Drosophila melanogaster: one gene and its partners. The protein of the gene in region 2 interacts with the protein of the main gene of each other region in a pairwise test. Each region holds a gene or a part of one and is shown on either strand. Other genes may lie near its edges.

Evidence for each region.
Region 1: the proteins of gce (region 2) and REPTOR interact in a two-hybrid assay, tested with the Drosophila melanogaster proteins (one large-scale study listed by BioGRID).
Region 3: the proteins of gce (region 2) and CG6933 interact in a two-hybrid assay, tested with the Drosophila melanogaster proteins (one large-scale study listed by BioGRID).
Region 4: the proteins of gce (region 2) and D19A interact in a two-hybrid assay, tested with the Drosophila melanogaster proteins (one large-scale study listed by BioGRID).

What each region holds. Positions count from the first base shown.
Region 1 is NT_033777.3:24,576,822-24,584,721, reverse strand, and holds the start of REPTOR (repressed by TOR), read left to right. Parts: upstream 1-1,857; 5' UTR 1,858-2,009; intron 2,010-7,268; exon of another isoform or gene 7,269-7,545; intron 7,546-7,900. Other genes in the region: CG13625 (uncharacterized protein), read left to right, coding at 1-1,585.
Region 2 is NC_004354.4:15,294,441-15,302,426, forward strand, and holds the start of gce (germ cell-expressed bHLH-PAS), read left to right. Parts: upstream 1-3,325; 5' UTR 3,326-3,496; intron 3,497-3,596; exon of another isoform or gene 3,597-3,777; intron 3,778-4,568; exon of another isoform or gene 4,569-5,143; intron 5,144-6,068; exon of another isoform or gene 6,069-6,182; intron 6,183-7,986. Other genes in the region: CG5877 (uncharacterized protein), read left to right, coding at 1-2,113.
Region 3 is NT_037436.4:20,216,341-20,223,599, forward strand, and holds CG6933 (uncharacterized protein), read right to left. Parts: upstream 4,081-7,259; 5' UTR 4,012-4,080; coding exon of another isoform or gene 4,005-4,011; intron 3,896-4,004; 5' UTR 3,764-3,895; coding exon 3,721-3,763; intron 3,324-3,720; coding exon 2,275-3,323; 3' UTR 2,162-2,274; downstream 1-2,161. Other genes in the region: CG17145 (uncharacterized protein), read left to right, coding at 5,512-5,518, 5,580-6,577.
Region 4 is NT_037436.4:6,184,414-6,192,932, forward strand, and holds D19A (D19A), read right to left. Parts: upstream 4,711-8,519; 5' UTR 4,567-4,710; coding exon 3,621-4,566; intron 3,560-3,620; coding exon 1,968-3,559; 3' UTR 1,417-1,967; downstream 1-1,416. Other genes in the region: D19B, read right to left, coding at 1-388; CG43293 (uncharacterized protein), read left to right, coding at 983-1,231, 1,291-1,353; CG7386 (uncharacterized protein), read left to right, coding at 5,401-6,711, 6,770-7,447; Sf3b6 (splicing factor 3b subunit 6), read right to left, coding at 8,068-8,296, 8,363-8,481.

The DNA of each region.
Region 1 (7,900 bases), on a different chromosome or scaffold from region 2:
GGAGATGTGGGGACGCAAGGCGACAGTTGTTAAGGTTAAGGATGAATTCTCACCATCCAGACGAAGTTCACCCGTCAGAATTAAGCAAGAAAAACGCAGCAGCTCTAGGGATTTAAGCCCAGCGAGATCGAGTAAGCCAGCAAAGCGAGAAGAGAGTCCTCAAAGGGGGCGAAGAAGGGCGGGAAGCTCAGATCAGAGTCCCACCAGACGAGGGCGAGATGGCGATCAGTCTCCGCCACGCCAAAAGCACAGGGATTCCGATCAGAGTCCACCCCGAAAGGCCAGGAATGGCAATCAATCGCCAGTCAGAAAAAGGCGGGATTCCGACCAAAGTCCGCCAAGAAAACGAACGGGAAAAGCATCACCCACTCGAAGGAGAAGGGATTCCGATCAATCGCCACCCAGACGCCGCAGAAGTAACTCCGATCAGAGTCCGCCAAGGCGACGTAGAGACAAGGATTCAACTCCGCCCAGAAGGAGGAAAGATTCCGATCAAAGCCCACCTCGAAGGCGTAAAGCAGACGATCAATCTCCGGTGCGAAGGGAAAGGAAAGACTCCGACCAAAGTCCGCCTAGGAAACGGAGAGACAATGACCAGTCTCCAGTGCGAAGGAGGCGGGATTCAGATCAAAGCCCGCCCCGAAGACGCAGAGATGACAAGCAAACGCCGCCAAGGAGGAGAAGAAACTCCGATCAAAGCCCGCCAAGAAGACCCAAGGATGTAGATCAATCGCCACCGCGAAGAAAACGAGACTTCGACCAAAGTCCAACCAGAAAACGAGACAAATCACCACGCAGACGTCACGACTCCGACCAAAGCCCGGCCAGAAATCACAGAAGTCGAGAGCGCAGTCCACCGCCTCGTAATCGCTTCAAGGAAGAAAGGAAAAGTCGCTGGGCCAAGGCATCGCCCAGCAAATCAGCATCTCCACCTCCGACACACAAGCCGAAATCCACCAAGACACTAGATGGCAAGAAAGCTGGACTGCAGGATGCGAAATCGCTGAAGAAGGAAACCGACGAAAGGCGTCGACAAGAACATGAACTATTCGAGAAAATGTCCAGCGAAATTTCCGGTCGTGATGGCGATGTGCAGGTGCGCAGTACTCGCAGAAAGGGACACCGAGCACGAGATGCCGCCAATGAGGATCCCGCCGAGCAGGGCCGCAAAGAGGAGCACGAGAAAAAGAAGAAGGAACTGTACGATCGCTGGGGCAAGGGGTTGAAGCAAATAGAAGATCACAAGTCCCGCCTGGAGGAGATGGTCCATGAGGCCTCCAAACCGGTGGCTCGCTATGCCAACGACGAGGATCTGGACAGGCATCTGCGCGAACAGGAGCACGCCGACGACCCGATGCTGGAGTACATGCGCCAGAAGCGCAAGAAACGCGACCAGCAGGACAACAAGCCGGTGATGCCCAAGTACGAGGGCAGCTTTCCGGAGAACCGATTTGGCATCCGACCAGGATATCGCTGGGATGGCGTCGATCGATCCAACGGCTACGAGCAGCGTTGGTTCGACAAACAGAACGAACGGCGGGCCGTGCAGGATGAGGCCTACAAGTACAGCGTGGAGGATATGTGAATGTTGCAAGCGTTGTTTGCTTTCGTGTTGCAATAAAGATGTAGGCACTGCCTGTAAAAAAGAAAAGAGCAATTACATTGATCGTTTTCTTTGTTTTATTGAATTATTTTGGAAAATAAAGAATGTAAATAGGTAATATAATATTTAATATTTATTTACAAAAATTTGATTTTCGAAATGCCCGCCACTTTCCCGCCAAATCGACGTGCCACCTGCAACACTGGTCGCCAGCGCAATGCAACCCTGTGTGTAGAATAGCGGAGCAAAAGCGAATGGTAAATAGTCTTCATCTACACCTGCGACCTGCTCGTCGCTCCCAAAAAATCGTTTCAAAACCACGGAATAAACCGTGTAACTGGGGAAAACCCATTGTAATTATCAAGTTTAAAGTGTGCCGCACATTTTGGCTTCAAAACCAGAATAGGTAAGTGACATCATCTGCTAAATAGAAGCATTCTAAGATTTTTGCTTTGTAAGCAATAGAGTATCGATGTGTGTGTGTGTATGTAAATGGTTCTGCTTTTGGTTGCTTTGTTGCTGCTTTCGTTACAGCGAACAAAGCGTAAGCAACTGTATATGTGTATCGAGTGGGACGCCAGTGGTGTGTGTTTGTTGCCCCGCCCCCAATAATTAGCATAAAACTCTCTTAACCACAACAAAAACACCACAGTCGTGTTGGTTTGTGCATTTGTGGATTGGGATTTCGGTGGTTTTCCTTTTTTTTTCAGCTGCTTTGCCTGCCCTTCGCCTTCAGCCGCAATTGTCGGTCAGCCGATGAAAAACCAGTTTGTTTGTTTGTTGGCTTGTAGCTGCTGCTGCTGCGGCTGATTGTTGTGATTTTGTTGTTGCTGCTGGTGCTGCTGCACTGCAATTTGCTTGGCGCAAAATTGGCGCCAAAAGCTTTTCAGCTGCAGAAACGTGTGGAAATGTTGAAATGTGTACGTACCATTCCAATCAGGCATTTGGCGCATGCACGCGCCTGTCGCTCGCTGCAGCTTCCATCTCGCTCGCTCGCGGCGGGATGCAAATACCGCAATCAGCTTTCGTTCTATCTCTTTCCCGTTGACACACATACACACTTCCGCACATCGCATTCATTCATGACACTGCTATTTACTCCCCCTCTCTCTCCCCTGCCCCTCTACGTTCTTCTTTTCGATTCCTTGTGTGCCATTTCGTGGTCTGCTTTTATTTCGCTTCATTTTGAATTAATTGCACTTCGTTAGATTATTATTTTTGCACTCTAACAAAGAGCCGTTCGTTTGGATGTTACTTTGTGTGCAAATGAAGATTTAGCCAATTTACACAATCGTAAATTTAATTTGCGTTAGTGTATGTAAATCCATAATTTTCAGTTTCTATTTCCTTTTAGCAATCAAGTGCTAATTTGATCAATTATGCGCCTTTGATAAATAAATAAATAATGCAGTAAATTTATTTGTTTGATATTCTCTTTAATGTTGTAATTGTGCACTTTTCATACATATTATACTCCTTTGTTCTTAAAAATGCATAAAGTGAAGGTGGTTTTAAATTATGCTATAGACTTTGATTTTTTTAAAAGGTATTGACTAATTGAGTTTTTTAAACTTCAAGTTTACTCATTTTAAATGCATGAAAAACAGTTCTTTATAAGTTTAACTAGTTTTTAGTTATTTGTTGTTAACGGCAGATATTACACGCAATGGACATCGCAAAGATGCTAATTCTTTATTTCCCTAAGATAAGGGTAAAAATATCAAATATCTGTTTCTGAAAGTTTGCCTATTTTGCTTTTGAGCATGAAAACTTTCTTCAACTTTTCTTGGGCACTTTGTGTTTTTGAATGTTCTTTGCATCAGACAGGCTAAGATCAGTGCTTGGCCTTCTTCGACACATGGCCCTCTTAACCCCCCCAAAAAAAGGGGGAGAACCATAAACTGATGGCGCAGACACCCCAAGGAAACCTTCGCTGGTCCAAAAGCAACCCCCAGAGCAAGCTCAACCCTTGTCCTTGGCCCTTCCTTGTGCATTTCCTTGGCTTTTTCCTCGCGAATGGGGTGCTTCCAAGGACCCAGTGACATGACATTGTAATGGCTTAGAAATTTACACGCATCCCATGCTGAGTACGTGTGTTCCAAGCACCCCTTACAATCCACAGATTGATCCTCCCCCTTGGTCTTTGCTCGGAAATTGAGGGGTTGGTTTGTGTCATGCACTGTCAAAAATATTTATTAAATTACCAATATCTGAAACTCTAAATAAATTTCCCAATAGATGTAAAATCAGCACAAGAAATTTGCTATTTTCAAACGCCTTTTTTATCATAACTTGGCTAAAAATGTACTCACATTACAACATTTGATAGTTTTGTGCAGCTTATTATCCCAACTAACGATCTATATCACTTTTTTGTTCATATTTGGAATTTCAAAATTTTATGAATTTTGGATTTTTTGCAAGGGGTAACATCATAAAATTTTGAAAAAAATTTAACAAAAAAAAAAATTTTCAAATTTAAATGCCAATTGATTTAGAATTTTATAACGAGTTTTTTGAGATATGGCATTCCATATTGTGGCTGTTTTTTATAAAATTATGACGAAAAAACGAACTATTATGTGCGGAAAATTAGGCTAAAAAATTATTGCAAAATTTCATATTTACGAATACCACAAATATTGACTATTTGATTTTGATATATTTGAAATATTATTTATTACTGTTTATGTATGTACCAAATTGTTTGCAGTGTAGAATTTTGGCACAGTGATTCGGGTTCTTTAAAGCGTTTTTTAATTCCTTCACATGCTGGAACAACATAGGGCAAAGTTATTCAAATTCCTTTTGTTCGAAATCCTGTTGAATGGCAAAGGGAATTTCAATTCGGTTGATTCGATGGAATTTCCTCGGCACCACGTGTTCCGATCCTGGGATTTCCAATGACTCATACGCTTGGGGTTGTTGCTAGGGAAGCTTCTGAGTGGAGGAACTTCAGTTGGAATTGCCTTCTCGATCCTGGAACTTCCAATCAGTTTCTTTAATGGGAAAACTAGCGTATACTAATTCCTTAATTATTACTTTACCGACTTCAAGCTGCTGGAGGAATAGGAAGAGGGAAAGTCTAGGGGACTTACACCCCGCTAGGCCAACAAATAACTAGAGGAAAACAATGGAATTTTCATAATTTTCCTGGTCCATCTGGTTTTTCCCCCCTGCTTTGTGAACCTTATCCTCTTAGAACAATGCTGTGTAAAAGCGCCCCGCTGGAAAAACTAGTTTCTCCGCTTTCTTTCGATCGGAAAACAGAAGGCGAATGCCTTGTAACCAGTTTCTGCTAATTTGTGCACACGTGCAAATCCTTGGACAAAGGATCCATTGATAGAAACTCGTTCCAGCCCCCCGCCCGAGGCGAAAAGAAAAAAAAGGAAAGTGTTGGGTTCAAAACGCCGCCGGCCACTGACACAGGAAATTAAGGTTAATTCATCAAATTTTCGAAAAAGTTTTCTTCAAGAGACGGTCCGGATGGAAAATGCACTTTTCTTGGATCATTTGTCACTCGCATAATTAGATGCTTGTTATGACATCGCTGGGTTCAAAGTGCGAAGCATCAAGTGGTGTCGAGATGAGTTAGCATTTTAGGATCACTATATAAGAAAATTGGATGATTATAAATGGGAGTTTAAGTTGAGTTCAAGTGGTGTAGAGTCAAAGGATCTCGCAGGATCAACAGGGATTCTTGACGAACCAAAGAACGAAACAATCTTCTTCTCTTCTAATAAATTGTATTAAATCTGACAAAAGTTGTAGAAAACAACAATTAGATGGAATAAAAATATATAGAGCTATAATTCTCATATTAAATTTCATACCAAGAACTGACCTTAGATGATCCTCAGTTGGAGAAATCCTTTAACAACACTTCCTCCACATAACCATTTAGAGCTCGAGAGCTTCTGTTCCAGTTTGGAACCATAAATCAAGATCCATTGTTCGTTTCACGTGGATTGTTCTACTTACCGTACTGCTTACAGAACTTTGTAAGACAGACAATGGAGGGAATCCAAAAACAGGACTCGCGAAGGAGACAACCCGCTGCCCTAGATAACCATGAAAAGCATCCCGAGACTCTTTTTATTTTCATTATTACTACTTGCCCGAATGCCAAATTTGAAATTCCAGTTTGCTTTCGAACAAAGCACACGCATATGGATCAAAGGACATTAACTTGGGTGTTTTTTTTTTTTACGGGGGGGAAGCGAAGACAGCTTGGCTCGAAAGGATCTGCTCTGGCAATGGGAACAATATAAAATGGGAGATGGGAGCAGGACAATGATATAGTAGCGATTTAACTACCCTTGGTAGTTAAACTTATGCTACTTTTATGTTTTCCCAATAAAAACAGTTCCGTTTCTATTCACTCATTCTTCAGATTTGTTTTCTTAGTTCCTTAGGTGCGCTTTCCCCTTTCCCCTTCCGCATTCATTTCAATAGAAATGTAAATAGGAAATTTTAATAATGATTGAAATGAGTTTTTCGCGTGGAAAAAGCAATCGTATCGAAACGGAACCGAATGGATCGGATCTTCGAAGAGGGTTGCTGCACCCCATTAAAAGAAACTGCATGCGGCAACCCACAGTTAAGTATGTAATTTTCTGCCATCCATATGCAGATTTGTAAGGACATAACAATCTACGAGATGTTCGCCATAAAAAGGAAAAACTTAGAGGGGGAAAAAAGAAGTGTACGAACTGCCACTGACATCGATGATTTATAAACTGTTTTTTAATCGCCAGTCGCGCTGCTTGTCGCCAATTTCCATATCCATTTGAAATTCTCCTTCTATGTGCTATATAATTGAGCGTTAAAGAGCGTGGAAAATGCAAATCGGTGGAAATGCCAGGGGGGGGGGGGTTAACGAAAGCGAGGAAAATTAAGTGGAAAGTGACTTTTTAAATAGGCCAAACTGTACTTGTGCGAAATGAAATTAGTGGTTGCGTTCAGGGGTAATAATATTTAAGTAAATGTTACTTCGTTCAGCAAACATTAATGCTCCAATATAAAGGGGAAATCACTTTAAGTATGCTACTAAAATTAAGTATGTAGCATTTGAAAAGCTGAAACTTCAATCATACTTAACTCTTTTCCAGTGAAACGCCATTTCACTTGAATTCCTATAAACTTTACTAATGGACTGTCCATCAAATCGTTTTCTTGGAAATAAAAGTTGTTTTTTCGCTGTCCAAATAGCACATAATAATTGAAAGTTTTACTGTACCTAGTTTATTTTTCTAAAATTCACTCACTCATTCATGGAAGGAAACTCCTTGCCGCCAGCGCTTTTCCACCCCGCGTCGTTTGCTGGCTAAACAAAAAGTTAAATCGTCTACGAAAAAAAAAAATAAAAAAAATAGAAAAACGGAGAGCAGAGTCCTTCGATTTGGCACAGTATTATCCTTGGCTGTTCAGGGTTACTTTTCGGTCGGCGGTCTTTCCACCCCCCAGCGCACGACGGCGGTTATCTTCGTCGCGTCTTCAGCCAGGATATTCGAGGATACAAACGCTCCGCTCTCCCGCATCTCCTTGCTTGGATGGTGCTGCTTTGGTGGAGGGTTCGCAACCTGAGACCAACTGAGCTGTAGCGCGGTGACTCCTCCCGAGTCCTGGTGGTCGGACTCTCTAGGCATTCCGCCGCCAGAGGCTGACACAGTTATCGAGTGCAATCCGGACAGGTCGGTTGTGTTCCGCGCTCCTCGTTATTCGTTGTTCGTCCTTCGCGTCGCGTCGCGTTTTCCGGTTTGTTAGGTTCCCTTTTTGCTTTTCTGTTGCCTAATCCTTAGGATCTTCGGATCGAGTTAGTGGAGCATTGCTTTAAGTCGAAGTCTTCGCCTTCAACGATTTGCGCACGCATCGTCTACTCACGTTAATCGCATTTAGAGCAGTGTTTTTATAAAAAATCCCAATCGTTTTTATACATTCAAGTAAGTGGAGATTGTAAGAAATTTTAAATAAGTTACATGGCGAAATGGTTGAAGTAACATTTCTTGTTCCCCCATCTATGCCAATAATCCTTTATTGTCACTACGCTTGGAAATGGAGTAAATCCGTGTCGGCATCTGCCGCCTTTAACCTTGTCAGTAGTGCTATCCATTAATTGCGCCAGCCAGATAGCAGCCGGCAATTTATTTATCTGTCTATATGTACAGTATATATACATTCATATATAGAGACACGATCCATGTCTCGCTGCCTTGTTGCTAAACTGCAAATACTTGCAGGCGGCAGACAGAGTGCAACCATTTTATATCTGCCCGTCTGCAGTTCTCTTTGTTTCGC
Region 2 (7,986 bases):
GTCCGCTGTGCTCCGGATTTACGAGTACAGCATGCGCCGCATGCATGTGGGACACAACGATGAAATAACCCGAAGATTCATCATTAAGGAGACTGATGTGATAATGCTAAAACTTTTTCACAATTGCTTACTATTCCTACGCCAATCGGGCCATACTAACTGGATGTTTGCTCTGATTCGTTTGTCTATGGAGTTGAATTTCCCCTACCTGACGTTCGAATGCCTACAAGCACATGCAGGAAGAGAAAAAGCATTGATTGGATTCGAGGAAGTGGTGCTGCGTTCGGGAATGCCGATGCCCGAGATCTGGACGCGTGTGGAGCAGCTCAGACAGGCATACTGCTTCCTGCCGTTGAAAGACAAGCTGGCTTCGTCGACTAATGTCTTCAAAAACAAGATGAACGCCGAACGATACTTTTGCAGCGACAAACTTGTCCCATATGTACACGCACTCAAGTCGCAGAATAATCGTCTGCACCTGGTGCTCGTGGTTGTTCAACTAATGAAATTGCCCCTGATTCGCAGCGCTAGTTTGGCGGACAAATTGAATCCTTGCATCGAGGACTTCGGCGAGTCTGAGGCCATTGAAATGCTTTTCGCTGCCATAGTAGATAGGCACTCCTATGCAGTGGCTTCGTTGCAATATCAATTTGATGCAGCCATGATCGACTTAGCCAGAGAGATGTCCGTGACGCCCAGCTACATGCCGCATCTTGTTGGCCATAAACTGTATGCGGATACCGTGAGTAATATGCTACTCAAATGCGTCGAAGTCTTTATCGGCGAGGAGTCCAAGCGACGATTGTTGCTTATTCTGTATTTGCGATTCCAAAAACTATTAATAGTGCTGCACAAGTCCATGGGCAAGCTAACGAAAAAATTCTTTAAGGATAAACGAACACGGATGCGCAAACTGATCAATTTGACGGAGAACCGAAATGTTATTAGTTTCTACACGGAACAGGCCTTGTGCGAAATTGAGGCTAAGCATTACCGACTGGGCTTTTCCATAATTTCGAGGATCATCACAAAAAAATCGGAAGAATCCAGCTGCATTAGTTGCGTGGACACAATGCATCTCTATTTAGTTTGTGCAGAATTGCATATACATAGGGGCCGCATATCTAAGGCCATCGGCATACTCGTTTCACTGTGTTTGGAAAAACATGCCGGAGTAAAGCAGACAACTGTCTACTCCAAGGAACAGGTTTTGAAAGGCCTGAGAAATGCAGAGAAAATGGTGCGAGCGGAACTGAAATCCCTCGATACCCAGCCAGCTGAGATGTCTTTGGAGGAGTACTTCCAGCCCAACAAATTGCTCATCCTCTTGCGCGCTATCTGTTTGATCGAAGTGCTGAATAATCGTCGTCATAAGGAGGCTAGAATGTGGCTCAATGACCTGCAGAATAACGAATTTGGTCCCGAGGCCGTCAAGGACAGCGAAAGAAAGCGTTTCCTTAGGGAGCAGATCATGGAAATACAGATGCTACATCTGCGTTTGTCCTTTTTAGTATTTGGCGAAGTTGAATTCTATACTGGATTCAAAAAGATCAAGCTACATGAACTGCTCGAGAATGGACTCGAAGAGTTTCCACGAAATATGGTGTTTCTACAGCTGTGGGCCAGCTTAAAATCGATTATGTGGCACAAGCAGCGTAGCCGGCTCATACGCACCAAAGCCGGCATCGCTTCACTGGCGCACTTGGTCGTTGCGATTCACAATCGCTTTGGAATCGTAGATACCAACGATAAGTTTTCAAAGGAAGCCACAAGGAAGATGGTGTGCAATCGTTTGGTCAGCATTGTCGAGACTTTTCTCCCGACCAATTTAGATCGTTTGGATGTGGAGGAAGAGCATTATCGCATACTGCGCAGGAACTCCATCTATTGGCGCTTGTACATGATTGCCCTATCCAAAACGAATGCCTCGTTTAGGCGCAGCAAAGAAGTCCTTATAATGGCCATGGACGAGTGTCCCTGGGACAAGTCACTACTGATGGAAGGCGCCAAGGTTTTGCCAGTGAAACTAGCATCGCTACAGGACCTGATGACCGAAAAAGAGATTCGCATTTTCGCTATGCCCGAGGAAGTGGACGTCTTGAGGGGCTTTTAAGTCGCTTTGGTTTTATTCGTTTGTTTTGAGGTTATTTGCCATTCGGGCGACTCGATAAGTTCGCATCATAAATATATTTATTTCTTCAAACAATCTAGTTCTGAAGTTTGCTTCAACTTTAAGTTAACTGGCGAAATTGCGATAAGCTGTTTGCAGTTATATGCGTACATGCATATTTTACTACATATATCCTAAATCGCTTATCAGAATTGGCTCACTAACAAATTCAGAATTAGCGATTTTGCTACTCAAAAATACTCGCCGTTCGATTATGTTAAAAAAAAATTCCAACACTTTATCGCTCGTTGCTGTGCAAGGAAACCAGAGTCGCATATCGAATGTCGGAGATTAGTCCAACTTCATCTTCTGGCCAATCCGCTCCCCCCGAATCCAGCATTTTCTTGTGTTTATTATTTTGATTGTGTTTATCGCAAGATAACCGAACAAAACTCATAAGCCAAAACAGCGCCGAAAGAATCACTGCGCACCTGAGGTCGCAATTGTAGCACCTGGAAGCTGTGAGACGAACTAAATACAACATATTTGTTATGTCATTTTCATATCGCTGAAATGAAACATATATTGCAAATAGCTTATTTTTATATTACTGAAATTTAAAATATATTGCAAATAGTTTATGGTTCTGTTTATTTAAATTTATTAAATCATTTAAATATGCAAAAGAAATTAAGAAGTTTTCTACATTTGTAAATTACAAATAAAAATATTTATATTCCTATTTAGCTATGAGTAGTTTTAACAGCTAACTTGTTAAATATTGATAAATTTAGATTTAATATGTACACATTAAAGGATTTGTATTAAATGACATGAATGATATTGACGATAAAATGATTGATATTTTGTATGCGATCTGTTTGTGTGACCGCAAGTGTGGTGGCCAAGTTGCGTGAGCGCGAGCGAGACGGCTGTGGCTGAGTGTTGACTCGTCTCGAATGTTGCGTATGCGCCCTGTCTGCCCAGCCACTTAAGACTCCTGTGCGTTACTGTTGCTCTTTGGAAAAGCGTGGAAATCGGGAGAGGAAACGCTGTGATTGGGCAGAGGGGTAGTGGGGATGAAAAGCTCCGCTCGCCGAAACGCATCGAAAGCTGTCTGAGCGCGAGAGTCCTGGCTGCTGTCCATTCGCACGTCCGTCTGTTCGCCTGCTCGTCCACCCATCCGACATCTTTGGACCGGGCTTCATCGATGGCAGTCGGTCGGCATCTGTCCAAGTCCCACGACGCGTTGTCGCTCCGCATCGGCCGTTGCTGCAGTGGAAGCGGCCCGTTTGGCCAAGTGGCGTCTCCGTAGTCCCTAGTCTCATGGCGGCGGAGTCTCCTCTCAAGGTTTCCCAGGCACTCCAGACCGTTTCCAGTTCCTAGGTTAGTGCTAGAGCTCGGAATATCTGGCCAGTATCAGGCCAATCCATATATAATAATATATACATACATATATATATATATATGTATATATCGCTATAACGGCCGAGTGTTTTTTGTTCCATTTCGTTTCGATAGCGAGTGTAATTTTTTTGAGAGTGCTCCCCCGTTCTAAGTCGTGTGTGTGTGTGTGTTTCTCTTCCTGTTTGGGTGTGTGTGCTGCGATGTCTCTGTGTTGGTGTAGAGCAGAAGCAAGAAGAAGCAGCATTGTGTAAGACGCCAGCGTCAAGTTCGTAGACTAAACACCAACCTTCTTTTGCGGCTCTACTCTAGCAAAGGGGAAAAGCTTTTCAGAGAGGAAACTCAGAAAATGAGAAAACGATAGAGACAGAGAGCGCAGAGAGTCAATGTGCACTGCTAGAAAATGTGGGGAAAACCAGTTTGCGAGCATGCGATTCGTGACAGTTTGCATATTTTTTAAGCATCTTTATCTCAGATTTCCAAATCTATAACTCAAATATTACTAAATTTATTACAGATAAGTGTAATCAAAATAATTGATAGCTTATTATTATTATTATATAATGCTTCCTTGGAGATTGTTATAAACAGAGGAGATTCAAGTGATTTTTTGTGCAAAACTCTAGTTTTAGCAACGTTTTCTTTTTTCCCGGTGTACTGGGTGAGCATGAACTCGCCGAGGGTTTCCCGGCCGGAAACCTTAGTCAAGGTCTCGCCAGCTTTCCAACGCAGGTTGTTGCTGCGCTCTCGCTCACACTCGCTGCTGGTGGGCGTTTGGCCAATCGCCATCTCTGTCGCACCGCTGTCGGTGACGAGCGAAGCTTTTATTGTATATTTCATCTTTCACGCTCTTTTCCCTGCCATTTCTGCTTCTTTGGGGCAGCGGCACCTAGAGCGGGAGCGGGAGCGGAGTGGAGCGTGAGTGGAGCGTTAGCTTTCCGGGCAGCTGATTCGCGCTCGGCTCGGCTCTCCGCTGCCGTTGCCGCTGCCGCCGTCGCTGCTCCGCTCGTCGTCTGGCTGATTAGTTTAGTTTGTGATTTCAATATATGTAATTAATTTTTGTTTCTGTAGCGGTACGGACGGACGCGTCGCGACGTTCGCTTGGTCCGCTTGGTGTTCGTTCGGTTCGCTTGGAGCTTGGAGTTCGAATTCGGTTCGCCAGCCGTCGCTGTTTCGTATTTATTATTATTTTTTATTTTTTTTTTATGAGTATATTCGTATTTCGCATTTGTATCTGAATGTTTCTTTGGCTCTGCGTACGTGTGTGAGCGATTGTGCGAGTTTCCTTCTCTTTCAACTTGCCTTTTTCGTGGTCGCCGCCGCTGCTAAAATGCAAAGAACACGCTCGAGCAACGTAAATGGCGCCGCGTTAACGAATGGAATTGGATTATCAAACAGTGCCCCCCAGAGCCCCATATAAAAGTTGAAAAAAAAAATAAAATAAAAAACAAAACGAGGAATTAAAACCGAAATAAAACAGGCAACAAACAAACTTCGTTTTGACAACCCCCCCGCCTTTTTTTTTGTTTGCGTGTGTGTGTTTTGTGCCAGTGCTTGTGCTATAGTGTAAAAAAAAAAGTTTGAAACAACAAACCAAAAACGCGCTCGAGGGGAAATATTATCAAAAAGGTAGATGGCGGTGACCTTAAATCATATAGTAATTATAGGGCTATCTTCCAGTTGGACAGTTTCAACAACCAAACGTTGGTGTATGAAAAACTCCAATTATCCTATTATACGACTAGTATGTATATTCATAAGCCCAATGGGGCTTAAATACCGCTGTTGGTGTGTTGTTGAACAAGCTTGAACAAGTATTTTTTTGTGCTCTACGTTGGTGCATTGGAGTGTAGATATAGTTTCAACAACCGACCAACCACCAAGCGCAAAATTAATATTGTTGAAACGTTCGAGCTTAGCAGCTGTTGGTGAACCGTTGTTGGTGTATTGTTGAGTGCGCGGCATTAGATGCTGTTGATCAGAGTACTTTTGGTACTCTTGTGATCCTGTTTCATTTCCGTTTTTGTTCACTGATTTCGATGTTTTCTTGTGCAGAGAATTGGTTTTATATGGTGTAGCCTACGAGTACGAGCATATGTGCTGAAATCAGCGGCGCGTGCGCGCATTTTTGCGCGATCGAAACCCGAGAACGATTCAGTTTTTTGTTGAGTTGGGAAAAGTTTCGATTTACGAAAAACATTCCCACTGTCTGTGTTTGTCATCCTTCGAAAATCTGCTTAGCCAACATTAACGTGTTTGCCCATCCACAAACACATACAAATGCATACAAAAAAAAAACTATCACATTCGCATCGACACAATCAATGAGGCAAGACAAATAAAATTAACATATTAATGAATTTCCAGTTTCTTTTTTCGACTTATTTAATTTTTTAATAAGAAAAGAAAAAACAGAAAAACAAAACAAGCGTGAAGAACTCGAGTCTCTCGACTTCGGCATACCCAAAAAGCACGAAAGCGGGAAGTGTGATTATGGCCAAAATTCCAGATCTGCGCTTTAATGGGTGTGCGAAGATCAACGGATTCCAATGAATATAGATGTTATATGGCGGAGCACTTTATGATGGGTTCTTAGCCTCCCTTGAACTTGTGGGCAGCATGGAAAGAGTGCGATGGAACTGAGCTTTGGATGATAATAGCAATAAAAGTAAATATAAATAGCCCAGCATCAGGTATTTGTTGGCAACAATTTTTCAATGATTTACCAGTTCCGAGTTCCGATCAATAAAAGTGTTTTTTTTCTGTTTTTTTTTTTTTTGCTATTCGGTTTGGTTTTTTCTTTCCAATTTTTGTTTTTTGTTCGGCTGCTTTGCTGCTGCTCTCAAGGTTTTCTGTGTGCTGTTGCCGATGGTGATGATGGTTATGATGATGATGATGATGATGTTGATGATTTTTGTGTGGATGTTTTTCATTTTTATTATTTTCTCTGTTACTTTTTGGCTTTTGTTTTGTTTTATGTTTGATAATTAATTTCTACGTCGCATGCTGATGTTGGCAATTCAAGTGAATTGAAAGAGGGGGGAAACTGTTAAAAATATATAAGTGTACAAATCTCAAGGCAGTTTATAAATATTTTAAAAAATCCATAGGTACATTGGGTAGCTTTTAAATTATAGCCAAAGCATAAGTTCTCTAAAAAAAAAACCATATAATTTGGATGTCTGTTTCATTTTTAAGGACAATAAAATATGCAGTCAATTTCCCTAGCATTTTTCTTTCTTTTATATTTTTTTACGAGTTCGTATATGTAAACATATTTATTTATTTTTTTTCTAACTTGTTGTTCTTGTCGCCCTCATCAAATTTTTTGCTGACGTCGCGTCTAAGAGCGATCGCTTTGGCTGAGCGGCGAGCGTTCAGCGTTCAGCGTTGAGCGGGCCAAGCGGTATAGAGAGTCAAAAGCTCGTCGCTTAAATGTGAGCAGGGGGGCCTGGTGGGGAGAGGGGCCAGGCGGTATTTTTTGTGGAGGGGCCAAGACGCTCTAAAGCTGCGGGAAAAGGAAAGCCGAACCTGTACTGAAAGCGGACCTAAGCAGCGGCAATTGATAACCTAACCTAGACAATAAAAACGACCGCCAACCGATGGCGACCCCAAGAAATGACGTCCACTACTTGAATAACTTGGCATTTTAAGTTAAATATTTAATTTTCAATTAAATGTGTCAGATTCTCTGGGCAGTCAAGCATAATTTAAGACAGGGAAAGTTAGCCGAGAGAAATGGAATGCCAAAATGAGCGAGCTAATGGTACTACTTTTTTTTCGCCACAATTTGTATTCTAAAGTACAATCGGAAAAACTACATAGAATGGGAAAATATTTCAAAAATGCTCGCGTATATTTCGAATTTCTTTTGAATAAAACACAATGTAAGCTATCATAAATTAAGGGCAATCAAATCGAGCCGCAAAGAATGTGGACTGCCAAAACACAAGTTTATCGATAAATCGAATCTTAATTGGAGGCGAATTTAGCATGCCTGATTGGATCGCATATAGCCGAGATAGCTTGACGCCATCTTAGGCAGCTATGCTAATTAAATCGATTTGACTTAGATTAGCCACGCTTGCCGCGGTTCACATGGCGTATGTGCAATAAACGCGGCTCACCATAACGCATACGCCGTGTGGCCAGGAAAATGGTATCCCTTTTGGAACGCATAACTCTCTATCCAGCTATTTCATGCATCGTACAGCGGCCTATTTCCGCTCCCCAATAGTTTACCTTCCTCAAAGTGTCTGTAGGTCAAACTAGTTTTATTTCTGCACCAGATTAGCCTTACAAATATAATCAACTTGAAAGCTCTATATTCAATTGAGACAGCTAGCTACTGTAATTTTATTTTCCCCCCCGTTTCAACTCTTTTTATTGGCTTCGTGATTTTGTAACTGTATTAACTGATATGGTTTTCGATCATCTCTGTGCGCCAATAGCTAGTTTAGTTTCTCCTATAT
Region 3 (7,259 bases), on a different chromosome or scaffold from region 2:
ATCATTCCCAAGGTGTACGGGTCTAAATTTAAATTGCATGCAGTTAAAAAATCTCTGCCGAGAATAACATTATACCTCATAGACTGGTCGCAAACAATGATTAAACGAAAATATATTTTTATTGATCCTTTCAATACATAACATGTGGTTTGTCCATGTGTTTTGAGAATACAGTTGTTTAAACCAAAATAGCAAGTATTAACTAGGGCTAACTTCATTGTCTCGTTAATAAGTGACTTTTTAATGATAGATATAGGACTGCCAGAGTCTATGAGGCATTCTGAAATTATGGGCTTATAAGCATTTTCAAAAAAATTAATTTTAAACCATCTTACATAATTATTAGATGAAACGCTCTTCCTTGTGGGACATTGTGCCACCAGGTGTCCAAGTTGTCCACAGGCGTAGCACGAACCTGGTTCACGTTTGGGCTTCTTGCAGATGTCAGCTTTGTGTCCTCTTGAATTACAGTTTGCGCATCGTATGGCATCTTTGTAGTCGGTTGGCTGTACAGGTGGCTCCCTCCGAGCTGGCAAACGGATGTTCGAAAATGCGCGTAGCATCTCCGATGGAGTAGAGAAGCATTGAATCCGTGCTTGGGTACGGAAATTTTGTAGCGGTATGCCCTCTATCATCTGGTCCAGTAGTTCGTCGTCGTCGATGTTTATCCCGTTTGAGAGAGCCATCTTCTCGTCGTAATAACTGCAGAAATTCTCCTCGGTTTTCCACTTGCGACTCTCGAATTTTCGCCGGATCTCAGCCTTGGATGATTGCTCGCCAAAAGTCAATGACAATTGATCAAGCAAATTGTCAATTGGTTCGATCAATCGAGCAGGGTGCGCATGTAACCAGACTTGCGCGTTTCCTTTAAGTTTAGTGATGAGTAAGATGCGTAAATGGTTGTCATCGATGTTGAAAGTGCGTGCGATATTTTTGACCACTGTTATCCAGGCACGCGCGCAAGTTTTCCCATCGTAATCGGTTATCGTCTCTTTGGCGAGAGCGAGAGCATCAACTGGAAAACGCTGGCTCTCCGCTCTCTCGTTGGATCGCTGCGGCGAGTGAAATGTTGTGTTCTCTTTTGTGGCGCCAGCCTGCGTAAACTGCGCCGTCTGGATAACGGAACTAACTGTAGCCTTGCTTTGCTCTGGTTGTTGTTGTTCTTGGAACTGCAAGCTCGATCGTGTTCCGTTAAGCATTGCCTTCGCTTCTGCTAGCTCTGCGCGTAGTTGCTGTAGCTCGAACATGTTTGTCTCCCTCTCACTGCCAGTTTCGGTTGATTCTTTTCTGTTCATCGCATTCACACTTACGTGATCGGTGTTAATTTCACAATTCTGAAAATCCAGTGAAGAAAAAATGTCGTTTCCTGGTGGAGCGTTTTTCTGGGGGTGCTCCGGTGGACAATCGCCCCGAACTGCCGTTGGGATGTCTTGCAGCCTCGCGATTAATTCGGTTTTTGTGCCCTCCGTATTTTGGCCCAGAATACGTAGCCAATCTTTTAGGGTTGTCAGCGAAAAGTCGTTCAGGATGATTTTATCGTCCATTTTGGATTATTAATCCCACTTCTGAGATTTTAGCCGCCGTTTACAGAAGTTAATATTCTAATACAATTTCACGTGTCTCTTTTATTTTTGATCTGTCCTTTAGCTTGGTTCAACAGCGACTGACTGCCGCGCTCTCTGCAGAGTGGCGAGTCGATTAGTCGATAAGTTTCTCGATAATATTTGTATGTTAAGGATGGGTGTATGAGTGTATAAGCTTATGACTAGATTGGCTATGTATAATTAGGTATGTATGACTAAGAGTAAAGGAAGAGGGTAGAAGGAGCAGCCTACTACAATACTAGGCTTTGAAGTACTGAATTCAAAACAATATCTCAATGCTGACGTCAATCAAGTAACTTCTCCAGAAATTTCCCAAGCAATGGGGTTTTACTGTTCCACCTTCTTCTAATACAATAGATGGAGGCCATTGAATTTTTTTAATTAATTATTTAATTAACTTAGCTTGGCAGATAACATTTACAAATACCCATCCCGCAGAAATTATATTTATATTTTGAGGCACATTTTCTGTGAGCCTCTTTTTGAAAGATTTGCTACCAAAAAGGCGAACAACTAATCAACAATTTCAAAAACAACAACATTTAAAACAAATTTCGCTTGGTCGAAGTCAACATTTTTATTAGTTTCTTTTGAATGCCTTCAGCATTGGTATTTATTTATATATTTCATAAAAGGTATCTCGGCAAACAGACGTGGCTGGAGGAGATGCTCATGTACTAGCCGTCGAATTACAAATGGCGTAATCGGGAATTTTGGTGGTGCAGATATTGTTCACCTCGTCGTAGTACGGCGCATTGGTGGGACATGATCCGGTTATTCCGCTGGAGCAGATTGTGTAGTTCTTGCAACCCTCATCTGCCATGAATGGATTGTTAACGTTCCCACATCGGTTATGGGTACAGACAAAGGAGGCTGGCGAAACGCACTTGCCAGCATTGAATTGGGTACCGGTGGGACATTGGTTCCAATAGCCAGTGGCGTTTACTGCTGCACAGTAGTAGTACCCATAGCAGGTGACACCATCAGAAACGTACCTATAGTCAACAGATTCCCCATTTACAGTAAGTGGATCTGCTGCTTTAAAAGCTTCTTCGTCACAAGCAGTTGCATTTGTTTGCCCAACAGTGAACTGGTCAGAGTTTCCACTGTTTGAATCTTCGCCGGTGCACGGATTCGTCGACTGGCAGTTGCCAGTGGCTTTATTATAGTAGGGATTGGCGGTGCTGGAACATTTTTCGGAAGTGCCATAGCCGTTGACGCAGTTGATGTAGTTGCCGCACTGGTTCGGATCGCCTACAAAGATGTTGGACAACATGAACCGACAGATGGTGTCCTGCGGGCAGGCGGGTCCCCATATACATTTTGTGGAGGATGCCGAATAGACGCCGCCGGTGCCGCAATCGCCATAGGAGATTTGGCCTGTGCCATCGCAGTAGGCGTATTCGGTGCAGTTCAACGGATTGGCCACATACATGGGAGATTTGACGTTGGAGCATGTCTCAACGGCACTGGTGGAGCACACCGTGGTATTAGCGTAATCACAGCTGCCGGCCTGCGCGTTGAACACCAAGCCGTTGGGACAGGTGCCCCAGGCCACAACCTCCTGGTTCTTGCAGTATCCCCAGGCATGGCAGTTGCTCGGATTGCCGATGTATCCATAGCCCGACCACTGTTGGCACAGATCATCCATCGTGTAGCCGGTGGCCTGCGATGCCATTAGGAGACATGCGGCCACGACACAGATCCTCATATTGATTGCTAAATGGGGGATACAGGGGGATACGAACTATGAATTATTAAATAAAATATAGACATGTGTAATCGTCGAATAGTTTTCTATTTTGTTTGTACTTAATAATGCAAAGAAATTATGCTAGAAACGACAAAATTGATAGCTTTCAATCCAAAATTCGTGTTAGCGTCTCTAAAATTGGTTAAGCCTTTGTTGTAGCCAACACGGCAGCCCTTTTTTTGGATAAAAAATCAATTAAGGACGAAAGAAAAACTCAATTTGAGTAACAAATCGAAATTTGAAAGTCATTTTAGCCATTTTTGAAAGTCATCTCCTTTGCAGGAGAATTTCAGGGCCTTAAAACCATGTTTGAAACCACTTTTCAAAATTTAGTCGAAGCAAGACGTCTTGAATACTGTGCACCTGAGATAACTGTATCCGTTCTTCGAGCCAACGTACCTCCCATCTTGGAATGCTAATATTTTTCGGGGACAAATTCACTTGATAGACAGACGACCGAAGCGAACGTTCCGATTTCGTTACTAACTCAATCAATTGCAGCCTTTGCGTTTTTATAGTTGACAATTCGCGGCGCGAACTGGGTGGGTAATTAAAAAATTGTCAGCCAGATAAGCCAGCCGCCAGTAGGGCGTTAGTATCGAAATTAATGCTAGATAAGATTCTAAGGTCTGGGGTAAACCACGCACCTTGCATCCCTCCGAAGTTGTTGGGTTAGCTTGAAGGCGGTTCGAAGGCGTTGGACGACGAAAGTGAAACTAGCGGACCCGGCCAAAATGGACTGGCTTATAAGCTCAAATCGATTCTTGGCCAGCGGACACCATACATACTTAGTTTAGTATGTATATATAGTTTATATATATTTTTATACGTTGACAGCCGCGCCGGAATTTGGATTATCAGCTGCTGATTGCGAACCCTCTTTGTCTATAATTGTTTTTTAATTTCGAAGAAGCTCGAGGAGGCGGGAAAGTGTCACGGCTCTTATTGATCACTCAGTGGTGTTTCCCTGGTATCTCGGCACTCATTTCAGCAACACGACATTAGTTAGATATCTCAATTTGAATCGCACTGCGACTCTTGACTTGACTTGACTAGACTTTCCTCTGAAGGTTATCAGGTTCTGGGGAAAAATTACCGAACTACAAATGTTTATATTAATAACTTGTCCAAAAGAACCGTTTGAACTGAAATACAAAATAAATAAATCGCACTATGAAATTATGAAATTATGAGTTATATATATTTATTTATTTGTATGCATAATTAAATAGTACAATTATATGCAAGTATTTTGAAATTTTATTATCTATCTATATAATCTATAAAAATAATTGATGTTAATGTTTAATAACAAAAACCCCATTTTTTTAGTCAGTTTTATTTTCCGTTAAACTATTTTAAATCTATCCGCCTTATTTTATTGTTTCGCCTAAAAGCGAGTTTTGTCCGTTTAGAAATTCGCCCATAAGTATGCAATGACATTTAAACACTTTACTCGATACTTTTTCCAAATCACAAGGCATTTTCGAAGTAATTTAAATTCTTAAAAAATAGTTCAAGCTACGTGCTTATTTACTTTTTATATTTAATTGGTAGAGTACTAAAAATGTTTTTTTTTTTATAATAAAGAAGGGAAGCTCTCTATTAACCCACTAAGCCTTATGAATTAAACCAGCTGATCTTGCTCTTCATTTTATTACTATTTTTTGGCCGAAATGATAACTTATCTACTTCCTATTTAATTTACCGGTAGCCAATTGGCAATCTCCAACTTGTTTATAAAATCACCATTCACTACGACTAGAAATCACCCAGTACTTTAGCAACGAAAAATATAATTAATTTTTTCTGAAGTAAAATTTTATGAATGCTCCTTAAAAACATTAAATTTATAAATACAATTTTATCAAACATTCCCATTTTTTGTGCTCTATCATTTACCTTTTCAAAAATATTATATAGCAAATCCCTAAGCAAAATCAATACATTTGATTGTAATCTTCGAGCTTTTAACAAATGACTTCTATTCATCTTTATTTAACCCATCTTACCCAGTTGAATACCCCTCAAAAACCAATCCGCTTATCTTGCCAGCAAATAGTGATTGCTGCTTATCCTCTGATATTTATAAGTAATCGCAGGTCGACGTTCAGATTCAGTACGAGTTTATGCTTTGTCCAAAGTTGAGCTGTAATGGAAAGTGAGTGGATTGCAAACTGCCAGTGGTGTAAATCTAACTTTATTGTTTTTTCAAATTGCAGAATTTGGTGCCATACTGGGCGTGGCACTGGTGCTACTGCTTCAAGGCCTAGATGTGGTTAATGGCCGGAATGAGGACATCTGCCGCTTGTTCTCCAATAATACGGTGATCCGAGATCCCGAATCCTGCAGTCAATCGATCACGTGCATCGATTCCGTCAGCTACTACAGTACATGCACGGGATCTACTCCGTTTTTCGACAAGGACACGGGCAAATGCGTTAAGTCACTGTCCACTTCCACGTCCAGCTGCTCGATATCCTGCGCGGATCGGGCCAAGCAATTCGTGGCCGACCCCAAGTCCTGCTACGGCTACTATTACTGTGCGGACGAGGAGACGGCCTTGTACGGCACCTGTCCGCAGGAGACGCACTTCAATGCCACCACCCAGATGTGCTCCCGCCAACACGAATCGGATTGCACCACCAGCACCTTCGAGTACTGCAGCATTGTTAAGAACGGCGTAAACTTCGACAATCTGCAGGGCTGCAATATGTATCACGTCTGTGAGAAGGGCGTCCTGAAGGACAAGACATGCTCGAAAACCTATTATCAGGCCAGCACGGGCGAGTGTGTGTCCAAGGCTCTGGTGGACTGCGATGCCCATCCGTTGCCCACGGATGTCTGCGGCAAGGCCAGTAAGCCCTACGAGAACAAGTTCGTCGCGGATGAAGCCACCTGTCGCGGCTACTTCTACTGCGCCAAGCAGAAGGATGGCACCCCGGACCCCAATCCGGTGTGGAACCAGTGTCCCCAGGACAGATTCTTCGATGCGAGCAGCCAGATGTGCATAACCCCCAGTTCGGTCTATTGCTCCCACGATCGTTGCGACGGTCGGACTGCTAGTTTTGTCGTTAGTGCCACCAAGGGCTGTCGCAACTATCTGAGCTGCTCCGACGGGGTAACCGTGAGCGAGAGGTCCTGCGGCAACTACTTCTTCGACGACCAGCAGGGCGCCTGCACTCCAAGTGTCCAGACCTACACCGCGTGCAAGACGTAGGCATGTATTTCCAATAAAGCTCAGAATGCAATGTGATATTTGGTTAAGGAAGTGTTGTAATGAAGTGCACTAGTTTGGATTCTTTCGGGGACTGTGGAACCTGGATTGTCATAGATATAGATACGCGGCTCTCTAGCGAGTTCGTGTTTATGCACAATGACAAGTTTCTGCTGTAAGCCAGTATCTTTGCTGTAACTCGAGGATCGTAGTTGAGATATATTGTTTTTTTACCCGTTTTTATAAGAACGTAGATTGTTTTCGTTGCTCTAATGCTTAAGATTAGCTACCAAAAAGAACAATAATCTTAAACAAGTTCTAGTTCGAAATTCGAATAAATAATATCTGATGGGTGAGTGAAGAACACCTGTATTTTGTTTAATATTCCTGGAACAATTCAGCTGAAAACTAGGTAAATGAACAAATAGAATTTTAAGAATTCACTCAATCATGGAAACTTTTCTTGCAGGTGGTAACGATGGAATAGCATGGCCTCACCGAGGAGACCATAAATGATAATCACTGTCCTATTCGTTGGTTACAATCAATGTTTTCAAAAGTTCTGATTTTCCAAACAAAAACCTATCGAAAGCGACAGTGAAATAGCAAGGCAGTATATTTTAAAAGGTTGTCATATTTACGGCACAATAACTGCTGACCGTTTAATCGCATCAGCGATAAATAT
Region 4 (8,519 bases), on a different chromosome or scaffold from region 2:
CAATGATCTCGATCTTGGAGTTGAGCAGCGGATCGAAGTGCACGTTGTCCTCTTCCTCGCCCGGCAGATCCGCCACAGCGGCACTGGTGTCCAGAACATCGAAGTTTGTTTGGCAGGCGAACGCGTTGCTGGCCACCAGATCTTGGAACTTTTGAACGGAATCGACGCACTGCTTCTGAAAGTCGTGCAGGTCGTTCAGCTTGGAGAAGCAGACATTGCACAGGTTCTTGGGAAAGCCATCCGCCTGCTCCACGGACAAGGAGGTGCACACGCACAGCTTTTTGGCCAGACCGGGCACTCGGAACAGATCGTAGGCCGCCGAGTCGTCCACCGTGGACAGGCAGGTGCGGCACACCGTGTGTATGGAGTACTGGCTCTCCTCATTCATTTTGGACACTCAATTCGATGCTGGACGATCCCGAAAGCCAGAAATCGCGAAAACCACAGCAATTCGAAATGTTCTTTCGCCGAGAAAAAAATCCAATACAACACACATTTGTGTGTACTCGCGTGTGCGTGTGTGTGTGCACTCGTCAGCAATTCGGGTTATCGATTACCCGCAAGCGACGAGTACGCTCGCTGAAAAACTGCGCAGCTCTAGCACTCGCCACCCACACTCAGGCGTTTTGTTTTGTTTTTCCCATTCACATGCATGTGCGCAGCGGAGAGGGTACGATGGGCGTATTAGACCCAGCGAGTGTGTGTATTCGTAGTCAAGTCACACAGTCGAGTGAGACTGCCGGACAGCTACGAGCACAATACTAGCACTAGATCAATACAATACAAAGAGTCTGAGAATTTAAAATAAAAAATACATATGTCTTAGTTTAAATATTAAATACATTTTTAAACAAATATAAATTTTTTAAGGATTTTCAAAATACCTTAAATCGTTGGTATGTCTATAAATATGGTTGTATCAATTGTTTCTATAGCAGCTTTATTATTATTTGTCATGCTGAGTAAGAGTATACAAAAAAAAATGGAGCAACAACCAGACAAGGATTCCGTAAAAGCTCTCGAAGCTGAAGTTAAGGTATTGGACACTGAACTGGCACTGCAACATGCCGGGAATAGAAGAAATAGGCTTAAACTGGAGATCGCAGAGTTGGAGGAGGTCCTGGAGAAGCAGAGTATAGCATTGAAGAAGGCCAACAAAAACAGGAAGGCAGCTAAGATAATTATCTCAAGTTTGATGGATTTGAATCAGACGGATGGTAATAACTGGACAGTTAAGTCATCAACTAAGTTTTAAAGATGTATTACATAAGATTAACCAATTTGTTTTAGGAGTCAAATAATCCTTCAGACAATGAAGGGTCATCCGAAGATTTCGACGTGGATGCAGAATAGAAACTTTTCCAGTAAAATCCCCCTTTCACATCATTTCGTTCAGCAAAATGTTTCTTAATATTCGATTAAAAATCAATTATCATCTTTATTTGTCTAAATTTAAAGAACGGAATATATGAAATAAAATTCAGCATAACCATCCAGATGGATTTCAGCTAAAAATGACTTATTTTAATTAAATTAAGGTTTGATTAATGTTCTTGCGGGCTAAAAAATTTGTTTTTTGTTATTAAAATATATTTGTAAAAATCACTGGTATTGCAAAGTGGTCTCTTAGTCCCGCCCACCAGATGGAAACTCCAATGGCGTTATGAATATTACTTTTAATCCATTACTCTAAGTAAGCACGGGAGATATTACACGGAAAACAAAATAATACATATATTGCATGTATGTATAAACGTAGTACGTAAAAAGTATGAAGTGTTCATATTGTAATATGCACTCGAATAATCTGGAGTGCCTATAAACCTACAATCTGATCCAGCTAGAGAGCAATTCGAGGCATGCCTACAACTTTTCCGGACAGTGTCAGCTGCATTGGAAGTGGATACATATGGATGTGGCTAGGTTATGATGCATATATGCTAGTAAAGTAAAGCCAATCCTGCTGCCTAGACGTGGTCGATCTTCAGGGCATCCAGGCTGGTGCCCTCGGATTGCGCTTTCTGCGCATAGTAGCCATCGTACGAGGTGGTCGCCTTGATGATCTCCTGCTGCTGCTGCAGCTTCGTCAGCTGCTCGCAGGCCGCCGCCGCGATCTTCTGCCGCTCAATTTCCGCCTTCCGCTTGGCCTCGTTCTCCTCCAGCTGGTGCGCCAGCAGCTCAGCGGTGGCCGCTGCCCGCTCCACCGCCGGATCCTGATACTGGTCAAAGTTACGCGGCTCGGCGTCTGGCTCCAGCTTGCGGAACGTGATCTGAGTGGGCGCACTGCGCTCGGGCACGTGTCTCCGGTTCGGCTTCTCGTGCGTCTTGATGTGTTTCTTGAGTGCCGTCTCCTGGCGGAAGTGTTTGCCACAAATCTTGCACTCGAAGGGCTTCTCGCCCGTGTGGATCCATTCGTGATGCCGCAGAATCTGTGCCTTGGAGAATCTCTTCGGGCAGAAGCGACAGGCAAAGTCCTTGACCTTCTCGTGGATGATTTTGTAGTGAAGTTTCATGTTTCCAATATTATTGAAGCCACGCCCACAGCCTGGACAGATGTGCTGGCCTTCCTTCTTGGTGAAGTTCACTTGCGGCGACCACGAGGGCACGGATACGGATGGTATTGGATTTACCGCAGTACCCGCCAGCTGAGAAATGTCCACCCGCTGGACGCGTCGCGAGTTCTTCGGTTTGGGAGGCACTGCAGCGGTCCCGCCGCCGCATGCCTTCAGCATGTCCTCACTAGGCATCTGGTTGGGGTCCATTGGCACCAAACCATCCGTCTGCATCTGCATCGGCATCTGGCCCGGCATCGGTACGGACATTTGGCCGGGCATGGGAATGTTAAGCTGCTGGCGAAGGGGCTCCGCCGGCGGCAGATCCCTTTTCTCGTGCGTCTTCAAATGCTTGGTGAGGCTCTTCTCGCAGAGGAATATCTTGCCGCAGATCTTGCACTCGCAGCACTTCTCCCCCGTGTGACTCCTCTCGTGCACCTTGCAGGCGTGCGACTTGCCGAAGGTCTTTCCGCAGTACTGGCAGGCAAAGTCCTTGCGCTTTTCGTGCACCACCTTTACATGATTGGACAACGCCTGTTTGTTGTGCGAGGCATGGTCGCACTGTCGGCACTTGAACTTTTTCTCCTTGGTGTGCGTGAGGATGTGGGCGTTCCATTCCTGGCGCGTCGTCTTGCCCACCCCGCAGTACGGACACACATGGTTCTTGATGCCTGCGTGACGCATAAGGTGATCCCTTAAAGCACTATTGATTACAAAACGCTTGCCGCAGATATTGCAAGGATACGGAAGCTCCTCGCCCGTGTGCTTATACATGTGCTTCTTGAGTGCTGTGGGGCAGCGGAATACGGTGTCGCATTCTGTGCAGGGGAAATCTCGAAGCGGGGCAGCCGCCTTGGTGATACCGTGCACCTTCTTCATGTGGAAGGTGAGCAGACGGACGCGCGGGAAGGTCTTGCCGCAGCCCTCGGCGATGCAGGCGTGAACCTCGGACAGCTCTGTGTGGGCGTGGTCGATGTGAATGCGCAGCCCATTGGCGGTAGTGAAACCTGTAAGGTGGGATTTCATAGAGATCGGATACTTATATTTATACTTAAGCCAGCGTTATACCTTTCTTGCAGGTCTCCACCTTGCATTGGAAGGGCAGCAGGTCGTTGTGGTACTTCATGTGCTCCTCGTAGCGGATGGCCTTCTTGAACTTCTGGTGGCAAATGTGGCAGTCGATGATGCGGTGCAGGTGGCGTTCCTCGATGGGAATGCGCTTCCTCTTCGGCTTGTCGCCCCGCGATGTGCCGTCTTCGGAGTCATCTGATTCGGAGGATGAGTCGCTCAACTCCTCCTCCTCTGGCGGAGGCGGTTTTATCTTTTTGGGCCGTCCCCGGGGCCTCGGCTTGGGTTTGTCTAGGTTGCTAAAACGGTCCTGCTGGGGTCCTGATCCGGTAGCTGGTCCCCTCATGCGCTGGGCCAGCGGAATGTCATCATCGCTGCTATTTGGCTCGAAGTCCAGATCGTGGTCGTTGTCATTGCCGCTCTCGATGGACGAATCGTCGTCGAACATCTTGACGGAAACGTTGCCCCCGTCATCCTCCTCCACCTTGGCCTCCTTCTCCACCTCCTCGGCCTCCTTGTCGACGTGCTCCAGCATCTTGAAGACATCCTCCTCGTTCTCGATTAGCTCCATCTTGTGGTTCAGCAGCGGGTCATAGTTGACGTGGTCCTCTTCCTCGGCCGGGTAGTCCTGCACGGCAACGTTGGGATCGAAGACGTCGAAGCTGCTCTGGCAGGCAAAGACATTGCTGGCCACCAGATCCTGGAACTTTTGCACGGAATCGACGCACTGTTTCTGAAAGTCGTGCAGCTCGTTCAGCTTGGTGTAGCACAGGGTGCACAGGTTCTTCGGGAATCCGTCGTTTTGCTCCACGGACAGGGATGTGCAGAAGCATAGCTTCTTCGAAAGTCCTGGAACCAGATACAAATCGTAGGCGGCGTCGTTCTGCAGGTGGTTCAGACAGATCCTGCACAGGCTGTGGATCGAGTACTGCCTGCCCTCGTTCATCTTGCTTTCAATCGCAATCGGCACTGCGGATCGGGGCGGTTTTCTATAGCTTTTTGCGTCTCTCTCCGGTCAGTAAGCAATAAAATAATATTGACACAGAAAAAATTGTATACTCGTCGACTGGCAATCGGGCGAGTGGGCAATAAGCAAGTACTTCTGCCAGCGAGTTACTCGTCCGAGTGCGTAGTTGTTTTGCGTTTCAGGGCTGGACAATCAATGTTTTTTCTTACCTTCTTATTTGCAATTCTAATTAGGTTGCAATATACAAAAAAAAAAAATATATATATATACAACTAATTTAATTAAATAGATATTGCTTGTATACTTCAAATAGTATTTCAGGGTTTTTTAAAAATATTTTGCAAACTGAGCACCATAGTAACAAAAACGAAACTGAACTTACAATATATAGATAATGGTATGTATATATAGAAAAAATATAAAACAAATTTTTTTGTATTAGTATGTATATATAAACATGTAAAACAAATTGCTTTTAATAATAAGCAACGACATTTGAAAATATACAAACTGGGCATCAAGAAAATTTGATACGAAAATGAACGTACAAGATTTCTGTATCGAAATAAAGTCAAAAATAAATAATAAATAAATGTATTTTAACTAGACGCATGCATGGTCTTGCTAAAAAGCACTTACATTAAAACAAGTTAATATAAAAATAAGAATCCAAGTATGCTGTTTACTTGCCACCCCACTACACCGTAATGGGTTAATGGCATAGCGAAACGGTCAGACTGCCTGTCACACTGGAACAAATTTGTTTAGAAGCTTCGATTGTTATCTGCCCGAGAATTGAGGGAAATGGGCACTATGGAGCTCAAGTACTCCGTCCAATCGCTTTGTCTCACCTGCCTTGTCCACCTGAAGCATGGTGCTGGACACGATCTCTTCGTGGTTCCAGATCTGTTCCAGAAGCTCAGGGCGTGCACTTCGTTTGATGCGGATCAAAACGACGGTTTCCCGAGAAACCTGTGCACCCAATGTTTCACCAAGCTGAACGACCTGCATGACTTCCGCGAACTGTGCGCAGAATCTATTAAACGTCTAAAGGAAATGATGACCAGCCAGAGGAATATGCCCATGGGTGTATTCGAATCTATAGCTGATGATTCTGAGGCACCTGAAAGGCCAGAGGAGCCGGCCAGTTTCGATCCGCTGCTGAATAACAAACTAGAGATGATTGACAACGAGGAGGATGTGTTCAAGTTGCTGGAAAAAGTTGACAAGGAACTAGAGGAGCATTCAAGGGACCAAAGCGAGGAGCACTTCTCCAGTGCAGAGCACAACGGACTGGAGGAGGAGAAAAAGGAGTCGGAAGGGTTCAACAGCGACGATGAGCAGGCCATGGGGCAGCGACGGATTGCGAACGACAAGCGTAAACTGTTTCGCCTTATGAGCTGTTCCATCTGCCAGCAAAAGTTCAAAAAGCAATCAAAGTTCGAGGAGCACATGAAGCACCACAATGACCTGTTGCCGTTTCAGTGTCAGGAGGAAAGCTGCCGAAAGGGCTTCACCACAGCCGGTGCACTGCGTTTGCACGTGGACTATGCGCACTCCAAGAAGGAGGATACGGTTCCCTGCACCGTGGAGGGCTGTCAATTGGTTTTTTCCCGTCTCCGGCTGCTGACCATTCACTTGAAAAAGGTTCACAACCAGGCGAGGGTTATTGCTCCGCGGGGTGAACAGTCTTGCAAGGAATGCGGCGTGGTGTTTCGTTGCCCGGTGGCTATGAAGAAGCACATGTACACGCACACGGGCGAAGAGCTTCCCTATCCGTGTACCATTTGCGGCAAGGGCTTTTACATCAATAGTGCCCTAAAGAATCATCTTCTCCGGCATGCTGGCATCAAGAACTACGTGTGTCAGTACTGCGGAGTGCGAAAGACCACCCGCCAGGAATGGAGTAAGCACATTCTGATCCACACCCAACGGAACCAGTTTAAGTGCCGCATCTGCGACTATGCCACCCACACGAAGCGGGTGCTAGAGAGCCATGTTAAGATCGTACATGAGAAAATCCGGAATTTTGCTTGCCAGTACTGTGGAAAGACGTTCGGGAAAGCATACGCCTGCAAAATACACGAGATGGCGCACACTGGTGAGAAGCGCTGCGAATGCAAGGTAAGGGAATTACCATTATACCCTTGTTACCAAAGTCTGATATATTTTCGCCTTGCAGGTTTGTGACAAAAAGTTCCTGCATTCGGAGAGTCTCAACAATCATCTGAAGATTCATGAGAAGAGCGTGGAAAGGGCTCTGGAAACTTATAAACAGGTGCAAGTAAATGGCGATGCCAGTGACACTCAAGTGGACTCACATCAGCTGCTGAAGGTTTACGCCGAATCCGTAGCCAGCATTCCTAAGAATCCCCGCCGCGTAGAGCAAGTTGATGTGGCCCTATTGGCAGGGACCGCAGTGAATCCCACAGACGAGATTCAGTTTGTGCAAAAGGAGGGTATGTACTTGTGTCCCAGCTGCAGTCAGGGATTCAAGAGCATAGGCAACATGAAGCGCCACTACAAGAGCGTCCACGAAAAAGTCAAGGACTTTGAGTGCCGTTTCTGCTCCCGTCGCTTTGCCAACTCGCAATCCGTGAAGCAACACGAGTGGATACACACTGGCGAAAAGCCCTTCGAGTGTAAGACGTGTGGCAATCGCTTTCGCCAGGTAGCGGCGCTCATCCGACACCAAAAAGTCCATGACGAAAAGCCGGCGAAGCCTCTGGGGGAGAGAAATGACCGTAAACAAAAGGTTGAGGCACTACGGCAGGAAATTGCGAAGGTCGCCAAGAAGGAGCTCAAGGATTTGAAGAACCAACTGGCACTGGAGAAGCAGCAAGACACATACGAAAAGTAATAGGCAGCGGCAGCTAGCCAAACTGGTCCTGACCTTAAGGAGGAACCCTAATCGCAGAATAGTTTACGATTACATAGGGCAAAAGACTTCCCATAATAGTGGGAATTTTTATTGTTGGTTAATATTTAACTATTACTTGTTATCCTATTTCTAAGTTGTTAAATAAACTTGACCCAAATGACACACTTTAGAATAACTACAAATGGTTTTGGACTAAAACTAGTTTTAAAAAAAATTGGTCATAAATCGAAACAAACGATTCTAGTTTTTCAATTTTTTTTTATTTTTACTTTCACTTGCTTGTTATTTTGATGAGAGAGTGTCTTAATGTCGTCAAATGATTGCAAACAGTCGGAACCGGGCGCAAATGTCTGCGTTCCGCGATATCCGGCCGTTTATATGATAGATGGAGTGATGGATGGATGATAATGATTAGATTCAAATGATACAAAATGCGATCAAAAAAATCTACAAGTAGATAGCAAAAATTTGGTATACACATAAGCAGAGCAAGAAGTTCCCTAAACAATGGAAAATGGTCGATGGAAGTGGGGGCGTCATCTGGTGGGGCCCAATGTCTGGCTATGCCCCATCACCGCCTGCCGCACCAAGTGTGGGTTCTAAGGAGCTTCAGGCGTCTTCAGATTGTACTTGGCCTTAATGTTGTTCAGTTCCTCCTGTTTCTTGTCCATGTCCACGCGCTTGAAGGCCTTGTTGGATTGGTAGTAGAGCACCACCAGATAGCGATTGCACACATTAAAACCCGATAAATGGTCACAGGCGTTCTTGGCATCGAAAATGTCCTCGTAGACGACAAAGGCGGTGCCACGCGTTTCCGGAGTGTTGCCTCTGCAAAAGATACACAAATTGATTGAGAGGATTCACGGCGAATAGCATTATCATCTTCAATCTTACACGCGTATCTGTCGAATGGCTCCAAATTTGCCGAATATGTCGTACATCTCGTCCGAGGTGATTTTGTACGGCAGGTTCCGCACGTACAATAGCCGATTCACCTCTGGCGGCAGGCGGATCTGCAAAAGAAATAGCACTTTTCACTCAATACATTTGC